Neurospora crassa OR74A: one gene and its partner. The protein of the gene in region 1 interacts with the protein of each later gene in a biochemical or structural test. Links are inferred from orthologs where the notes say so. Each region holds a gene or a part of one and is shown in the gene's direction. Other genes may lie near its edges.

Region 1 (3,750 bases):
CAGCTCTCACAAAATGAAGCAAAACCGAACCTGGGGGAGCGTTCGTAGAAGATACCTAGGTCGTCTGAAGGAGGCGAGTTTGTGTTCCTGTATATTGAGGGTCAAAGTCCATCTCAAAAACTATGCCTGATTGAGGTGCTAAATCGATATCGTGCAGACCGAGTGCGTTATGGTGTGCTGTATGCCGTAGCATTCATCGCGGTGGCAGTGGGAGTTGAGGTTGTGTTTGTGCAGTGGTTTGCATTGTTTCAAAACCGCATGTGTAAGCGCTTGGACGATGGTTTCTGCCCCACGGTACTGTAGTGTACGTAATGCCGTGGAGACCACTCTGTGGTTTTGTCTGGAGTTTTGCGCCTAATGGCAGACGCCTCGCAATCACCTGGTTTTAAAAACCAACGGATGAAGGGAATGTTTTCCTTATCGACACTTGCAGTAGAGGTAGTCACTGTTTGCAAAGGTAGCCTCTCAGGATACCCGTCGCTGATTGCCCGCCTGGATCAATCCGAACTTGGGAAGATGAAAAAAGGCAAGAAAGAGTTTCCAATGTACTGTGTACACCTTTGCTGGCAGCAAACTTGTTAGCGCGCTACCGCCACCGGACAGTATATAGGGGCTTAGATGTGGTCAAGCTAGCCATCTCTTGTACGAAAATTAAGTTCTCGCCACCTACAGATCACCGCGCTAACAAATTTTATGCTGACACAGGTGCAGTGTACAATCGTACGTGCATCTACCAGCTACCTTGTGCTCGTAAGTGACAAAGCCCAACCACAGGACGCGGTGAGCAGACATCGAGGGGTGAGTCCGTCAATGCACTCCCCCAACCCGGGCCGACCTTCTTTCGCTTTCCGGGAATGGAACCATCACAGCAGTGACCAGGGCGGCACCTCTACGTAACTGGCGCACGAACACTGACGACTGGGTCTCCAGAATCTCGTAGATCCACTCTTGTGCAGATGCTCTCCACAATCGCACTTCTGGCCTTACCATTCCATATTCTACGCCTAGGTAGGTAACACAGGGAACCCTAAACCCTGCTATCCATGTCGGAACTCGTAGCAATGGCGGGTGGCTCATGGACTATGCGAGGTACTATGCGAGGTACTGCCTGGAGCACTTTGCAAGCTCAGTGACTTGTCCGTTTACCGACGACATCAAAGGAAGCCACGTACCTCTCGGTCGCAAGATACGACGAAAGTACCTTCGTTCCGTCCGATGTACACTACATGCACTAGGTAGGTACTAAGTGCGTGACCGGTGCCACCCTCCACAGGCCACAGGCTGACAAGTGGAACTGCGAGCTTGCTGCCCTGTCCGCAGCCCGTCGGCAGCCCGCCTCCCTGTCCTCCCAAGAAGGAAGTCCAAGACCCAAGTGCCCGCAGCCGCTGGAGGTGGGAGTGGTGTCGCTGGCTGCAAGTCCATGGGAATCCACACCGGGAGCCGCCCCAGAACCCGCACGCCCAGGTCATTTCTGCCACCTGCTGGCCATTCCACTTCTTTTTCCTTCTCCTCCCCCCTTTGGCAACACTACTCCGGAGCAACACCAGCATTTGCAGCCTGCAGCCCTAACTGCTTCGCTCAAGTCCTCCCAACAACAAACATCGGAATTGGCGCAACGCCAGCATCACCATCCCCATCAACCCCTCGGATCCCGTCATTGGCCCTTGGTTGTGTACAGTGCCATTCGACTAGGGATTCCGAGCCCCCCTCGCGGTCCCCATCTTTTGCGTCTTTTCGCGCTGCGATCCGTCCCGCGCGCACGCCATCCCAACGCACGGTAGCTCGACGCTCGTTCCGACCTCACGCCGGCTGCACTCCAGCTGCGTCATCTTACGAGCCAGCCGCCTTTGTATCATCGGTCGCATCCCTCGTTCTCGCTTCCTTCAGCCGATTGCTGTCTTGAGCTTTCGCAAACCTGCGCGACCGCCCTAGCGTTCCCGGCTTGGATTTCTGTCCGTTTCTCGTCGGCTTCACCAAAACATAGCACGCGGACAACCGCCCCAACTACGCAAAATGTCCATGTATCCGCACCGACCCATTGCGGGCGCGCCCATTCAGAACATGGGTCGCCTCAACGAGCTCCTCGATGGCATCAGAATGGAATTCGAATCACAAGCTCGCCAGTACGAGACCTGCCAGCATGATTGTAAGGGTTTCTCCACACATCCCTCCGCTGGGTGGCCATCCTCCTCCCATCTGGCAACGAGGGAATCCAGCTGTACATGGTGATGCGGGCTGTTTCGGGCCTGTGATCAGCGACTTAGGCTTTGGGACGTGTACCCGGCTGACCAGACAATAGTGGCAACGCAGCTTCAGGAGCTTCAGGTCATCCGTGAGAAAGTCTTCCAGATGGAGCAGCACCAGATGAACGTAAAGCAAAAGTAAGCCAGTCAAACAAAAAACCCGGTCAAGCATATCCGAGACTCGAAAGAAGTAGGCTGACAATATCCGGCCAGGTACGAGGATGAGATTGCGCTGCTGCGTCGCCAGCTTGAAGCCCGCGGAGGCGCTCCCGGCAACATGAACCCGCCTCCACAGCATCCTGGCCAGCAGCAGCCCCCTGCTATTGGTTTGGGAAGCAATGTCTTTAGCGCGATCATGGCAGGTCAGGGCGGGCAGGCCTTGGTCCCTCCTCCCCCTCCACCGCAGCAGCAAGAACAGCCAGCACATATGCCTGCGCCCCCTGGGCTGCAGGGTCCTCCTCCCCCGCCCCCGCCGCCGTCTCAGCAGCCTCCCTTCCAGCAGCAGTATCAAGGGCCCCAGGGACCTGGTAACTTTCCTCCCCAGCCGCCCCAGAGCACTGCCTCTCCTGGCCCTGCCGGCAAGCGTGGCATCGGCAGACCTCCCGCTGGCGGCCCGGCTACTCCTCAAATCAACACTCCCATCCCGTACAACGGCGGCCCTGCTCAGTCGCCCCAGGTCCCAACCCATCCTACCCCGGACCATACCCGGATGGCTCAGCACCACCAGCCTCCTCCGCCTCCGCCTTCTCAGACCAACGCTTTGAGCGAGCTTGATCCCGACCGCCTTCCGAATCACATCAAGAAGATGAAGGACGATTGGTGGGTTATCTTCAACGCGGCCGTTCCCAGGGTACTAGACGTTGAGCTGGTTCACACTCTTCAGCATGAGAGCGTTGTTTGCTGCGTGAGGTTCAGCATGGATGGCAAGTACGTTGCCACGGGCTGCAACCGTTCCGCTCAGATCTACGACGTGGAGACTGGCGAGAAGCTTTGCATCCTGCAGGACGAAAACATCGATCTTACTGGAGATCTTTACATCAGAAGCGTCTGCTTCAGCCCTGATGGCAAGTATCTTGCCACTGGAGCCGAGGACAAGCTCATCAGAGTACGTGTCAATGCCTTAGCCAACTGTTGTGGTCTTCTCTTGCTAACATGCTCGATATAGGTCTGGGATATTCAGTCGAGGACCATTCGTAACACCTTCCATGGCCACGAACAAGATATCTACAGTCTTGACTTTTCTCGCGATGGTCGCACTATTGCTTCCGGCAGTGGTGATAGAACCGTCCGTCTTTGGGACATTGAAACCGGGCAGAACACGTCTGTCCTCTCTATTGAAGATGGTGTCACGACTGTTGCTATCTCGCCCGACAAGCAATTCGTTGCTGCCGGATCCCTGGACAAGAGCGTCCGTGTCTGGGACATGAGAGGCTACCTTGCGGAGCGTCTTGAGGGCCCCGACGGCCACAAGGACAGCGTCTATAGTGTTGCTTTCTCTCCTGATGGC
Region 2 (3,750 bases), on another chromosome or scaffold:
TGGAGTTCAGTGGTTGTGATTAGGAGAAGCGGGTGTTCACTGTAGTGAGGGCGGGCGGGATGGTAGGCGGGACCTAATCGACGCACCCTTGGCTGCATTATGTAAGCATCCCGTCCTTAACCACCTCACTGCAGTTGGTCGTCTGGACAGCGCGGGTTTCGGGCTGTGATTCTGAGGAGAGGGCAGCCAGAGGTCGGTGACCCAATGCCGCTGCCTGCCATGCTGCCAGAACCTAGAAGTACACCCGCTGTTCCGCCCCCGCCTTCCACTTGTAGTTCCCGGCCGGGGGAGCCTCCATTCGGTTTCCGGTTCCCATCCGAGTGAATAGCCTCACGCATGGCATTGGGTCTCTCCCCAACATGGAGAGATCAACGGAAACTGAGAGATCACCCAATAATGATACCCTAGAGGCCGACAGCAATCACGAACCGTCGAGCATACTGGTGTTCCCACGGGTACACTACTGGAGACTCCAAGGAACAGCCCCAAGTGAGATGCTGAATTTCCATACCGTGACCTCTCTAGCTACTGTACTGAGCTACCTGTACGTTTTTCGATTTCCCAAATCCAATTGGAAGATCATGGGGAAGTACCGAGTCGACTGATGTTGACCCATTAACTACCTCTAGGTACCAGCTAGTGTACCTTGGCTTGACTTCCCCAGCAACCGAGCTTCTTTCTGGGTGGGCAAGTCTCTCTGTCTCTACTTACCATAATCATCGCCGTGCACACTCACATTGAAAGCGACCTGAATGGAGGCCGGGTTGTGGGCGGCGGTTCCTGAATGCCGGACGCACTGTGCTTACACTAGTACTAGTACAGTATTCGAGCAAGAGCCAAGCGTTTTCCATCACAGGCAGAACACTGCGGTGCCGGTGCCATTCATAGGTAGTTGCATCTGATTTGATGCCGCCCTGACAACACCATGTACTGCCATTTTCCCTTTGAGAAGCAAACGAGACCCATTCGACGACGGTAGGTGCAATTTCACTTGGAAAGCTTTGCTCAACTCGACAACAACCTGAACCAGACCCGACCTGCAGCGAGCAATGAACCGAACCCCCGCCTCCCCTTCAGGTTCCCATTACCCCAAATAATTTCCCCTTGTGTGCAACAACGAGTTTCGTTGTCTTCCACCATCGATGTTTGTTTGAACCACATTTCACTTCAAACCCTTTTCGGTTTTCAAGATGCCCCTTATTCTCTTGTCGGTCCAGGTTGGACACGGGCTTCACCTATTGAGGCGTGATGTCATAGCACGAACCCTCCCCGACGGACGGTACCAGTAATTCACCACTCTACGGCCTCTACATACCTATGCATACGACTTTCTTACATCAAACTATATCTACTCGTCTCTGGAAACTGAACAGCATCGACAAGCCGGCTTTCGACGCCGCATCCCAGAGATCATTGATATCCTGGTCGAGCTGGCCCATTATCTTTTTCCCGGCACCGGATTGGTCAACATGGGGACCGAGCTTCCAGATGGCCCCGCACGCTTTGGCGCTGCCACTGCCGCTACCGTGAGGAGGAGTGAGGAGGTGCCTGAGTGACGGACGGGATCAGACCGGGGTTGGTGGGTGGGTGGGCGGCAGCCAGAGTGGGTGCCCGGGCGGACAGCTTTCTGCCAAAATTTACTGCAAGCAACTGCAAGAGCGCCGTGTCGGGTTGGTGGTGGTGGTGGTGGTGGTGGTGGTGGTGCATCGTGGTGCCGTGGTGCGGTGCGGTGGTCCCGTCTTTTTTGGGGCTGGCAACTCGACTAGGTCCCGGGCTCGGTTTCCACCATTGTACACACACCAAGAGAGACCAGCCATCGCTTCCTCCTTCCAGGCAGTGCCGTCCTCGCTCTCCTCTTTTCTGGAAATCCTCACCACGTACACCCTGGGCCACAGACACGAAAACCCGACTTGTCGAACTTTGTTATTTCCGTCATGAGAAATAGTTTACCACCCACCTACCACGTCGACCACCGCTCCCCGATCTCCAATTTGGCGTAGCCAGCACTTCGGATCCCGTCATAGACATCTCGTCTCGCCGTCCTCCGTCCCCTCTTCTTCGTTTTTTTTCCCACCCTCGTACCCGCTCAATCTTTTACCCAAGTTAGCAGCGAACGAGTCTTGCTTTCGTGGACATTTACACAAGCAAGCCGGCGACATCCTCATCTCGAGCACGCCCCCGATCGAGCACCCTCCTCACTTGGCTGGATTTTCGACCTGAGCCCTCGCGATCCTCCGCCGTCGGTCGATCCATCCTCGATAATTTACGCTTCTCTACCACCAAGCACCGGCTTCAAGCTACGATTCGAACCTAGCACGAGTCTCATAACCTCGACACCTTCGATTGCATCTTTACTCGACGATTGTGTCAGATTCAATTTGCGGTCGAGACTCGGCCTCGTCGAGTCCTCGCTTCTCCGTGACCACATCGACAGACGACCGCGTGATTCGGGTCTGCTCCCGCCATCACGCCCCATTACTTCTCCGACCATCCACATCGCAATTGTCGAGCTTCAAGTAAAACGAAATTGTTTTAGTGCTAGGGTGCGTCATTGTCCCCAGGCACTCCGGATACCCGACCGCAGAACCCCCTCCCAACGGGCCTGCGGATCGCGTTCTTCTCTTCGACACCAATCGTGTCGATTATATACCCTACATACTTCGAGCTCCTGCCTTGACTGCGGCCCCAGCTGCAAGCAATGGCAGGGTCCGATCCGAGGCGGTCGTCAAGAGCGCGAACCTCCCAATCACAATCGCAAATCTCGTCCAGCACGTCCAGCACGTCAGGTCGTGGTGAGCGCAGCACCAGGTATTTCAACAAAGCTGTCTCACCACAAAAGTCAAGCTCCTCGGGATCGCTATCCTCTGAGGCTCCAGACGAGACAATTACAGCGGACGACTCGTTTGGTACCCGGCGTCGTACCCGCGGTCAGCAGGAAGAAAGAGAGAGGGCAAATAACAAGTCTGAGCAGGTCGAAATGGCACACGGCGACGATGACGCTCAAGACGAGGACGAGGCCGTTCGTTGCATTTGCGGCTACGAGGACTACCCAGGCCCTCCGCCGTTTGACGAAGACTCCAAGCATGGCTTGAAGGACGGCATGGATATCGATCCCATATTCGCGACCGATGTCACCGACGATGCGGCCGGATTTTTCGTACAATGCGACATTTGCAAGGTCTGGCAACATGGCGCCTGCGTTGGCATTATGACCGAAGAGTCAAGCCCAGACGAATATTTCTGCGAAGAGTGCCGCAAAGAATTCCACAAAATTTTCACAGCGAGCAACGGGTAAATCTTGCATTTCTTTGGTCCCGTGGCTGCATGGTCGGGAGCTGAACGTCAAAAGTTCAGCTGGAGTGCGTCAAAGCCCATCACACGCCTTTGACGTTGCCTCACCTTTCATGCAATATCCTCCTCCATCCACGACAATTGTCAAATCACTCTCCAGTCGACTGACGACATGATTCACAGACAACGCTATTCGCACTACCTACCCCTTAAGCGCCCCTCTCGAACCACTTCTAGATCCGCCTCTCTCAACAAGGATGGCACGAGATCACCGCCCAAAGATAAACCGGAGGGCCGCAACGGACGTGGTACGACCACTTCCTCCGCGTCGAAGCGAAGATCTACAATGAACAGCCGAGGCGCTGACTACGACGAAGCTGAAGCCCTGAGACGGGCGATTGAAGCAAGCAAAGAAGATGCAGCTTCTGAACAACCCGAAACTACCACGAGAAGAACAAA

Evidence for each region.
Region 2: the proteins of rco-1 (region 1) and NCU02121 form a complex in vitro, tested with the Saccharomyces cerevisiae proteins (2 studies listed by BioGRID). The link is inferred for Neurospora crassa OR74A from reciprocal best matches to the Saccharomyces cerevisiae genes TUP1 and CTI6.

What each region holds. Positions count from the first base shown.
Region 1 is NC_026503.1:1,905,195-1,908,944, reverse strand, and holds the start of rco-1 (transcriptional repressor rco-1), read left to right. Parts: upstream 1-1,493; 5' UTR 1,494-2,013; coding exon 2,014-2,146; intron 2,147-2,299; coding exon 2,300-2,381; intron 2,382-2,456; coding exon 2,457-3,348; intron 3,349-3,408; coding exon 3,409-3,750. UniProt on the Saccharomyces cerevisiae protein: Acts as a component of the CYC8-TUP1 corepressor complex which is involved in the repression of many genes in a wide variety of physiological processes including heme-regulated and catabolite repressed genes.
Region 2 is NC_026501.1:1,174,017-1,177,766, reverse strand, and holds the start of NCU02121 (transcriptional regulator), read left to right. Parts: upstream 1-1,260; 5' UTR 1,261-2,698; coding exon 2,699-3,291; exon of another isoform or gene 3,292-3,463; coding exon of another isoform or gene 3,464-3,474; coding exon 3,475-3,750. UniProt on the Saccharomyces cerevisiae protein: Component of the RPD3C(L) histone deacetylase complex (HDAC). Responsible for the deacetylation of lysine residues on the N-terminal part of the core histones (H2A, H2B, H3 and H4).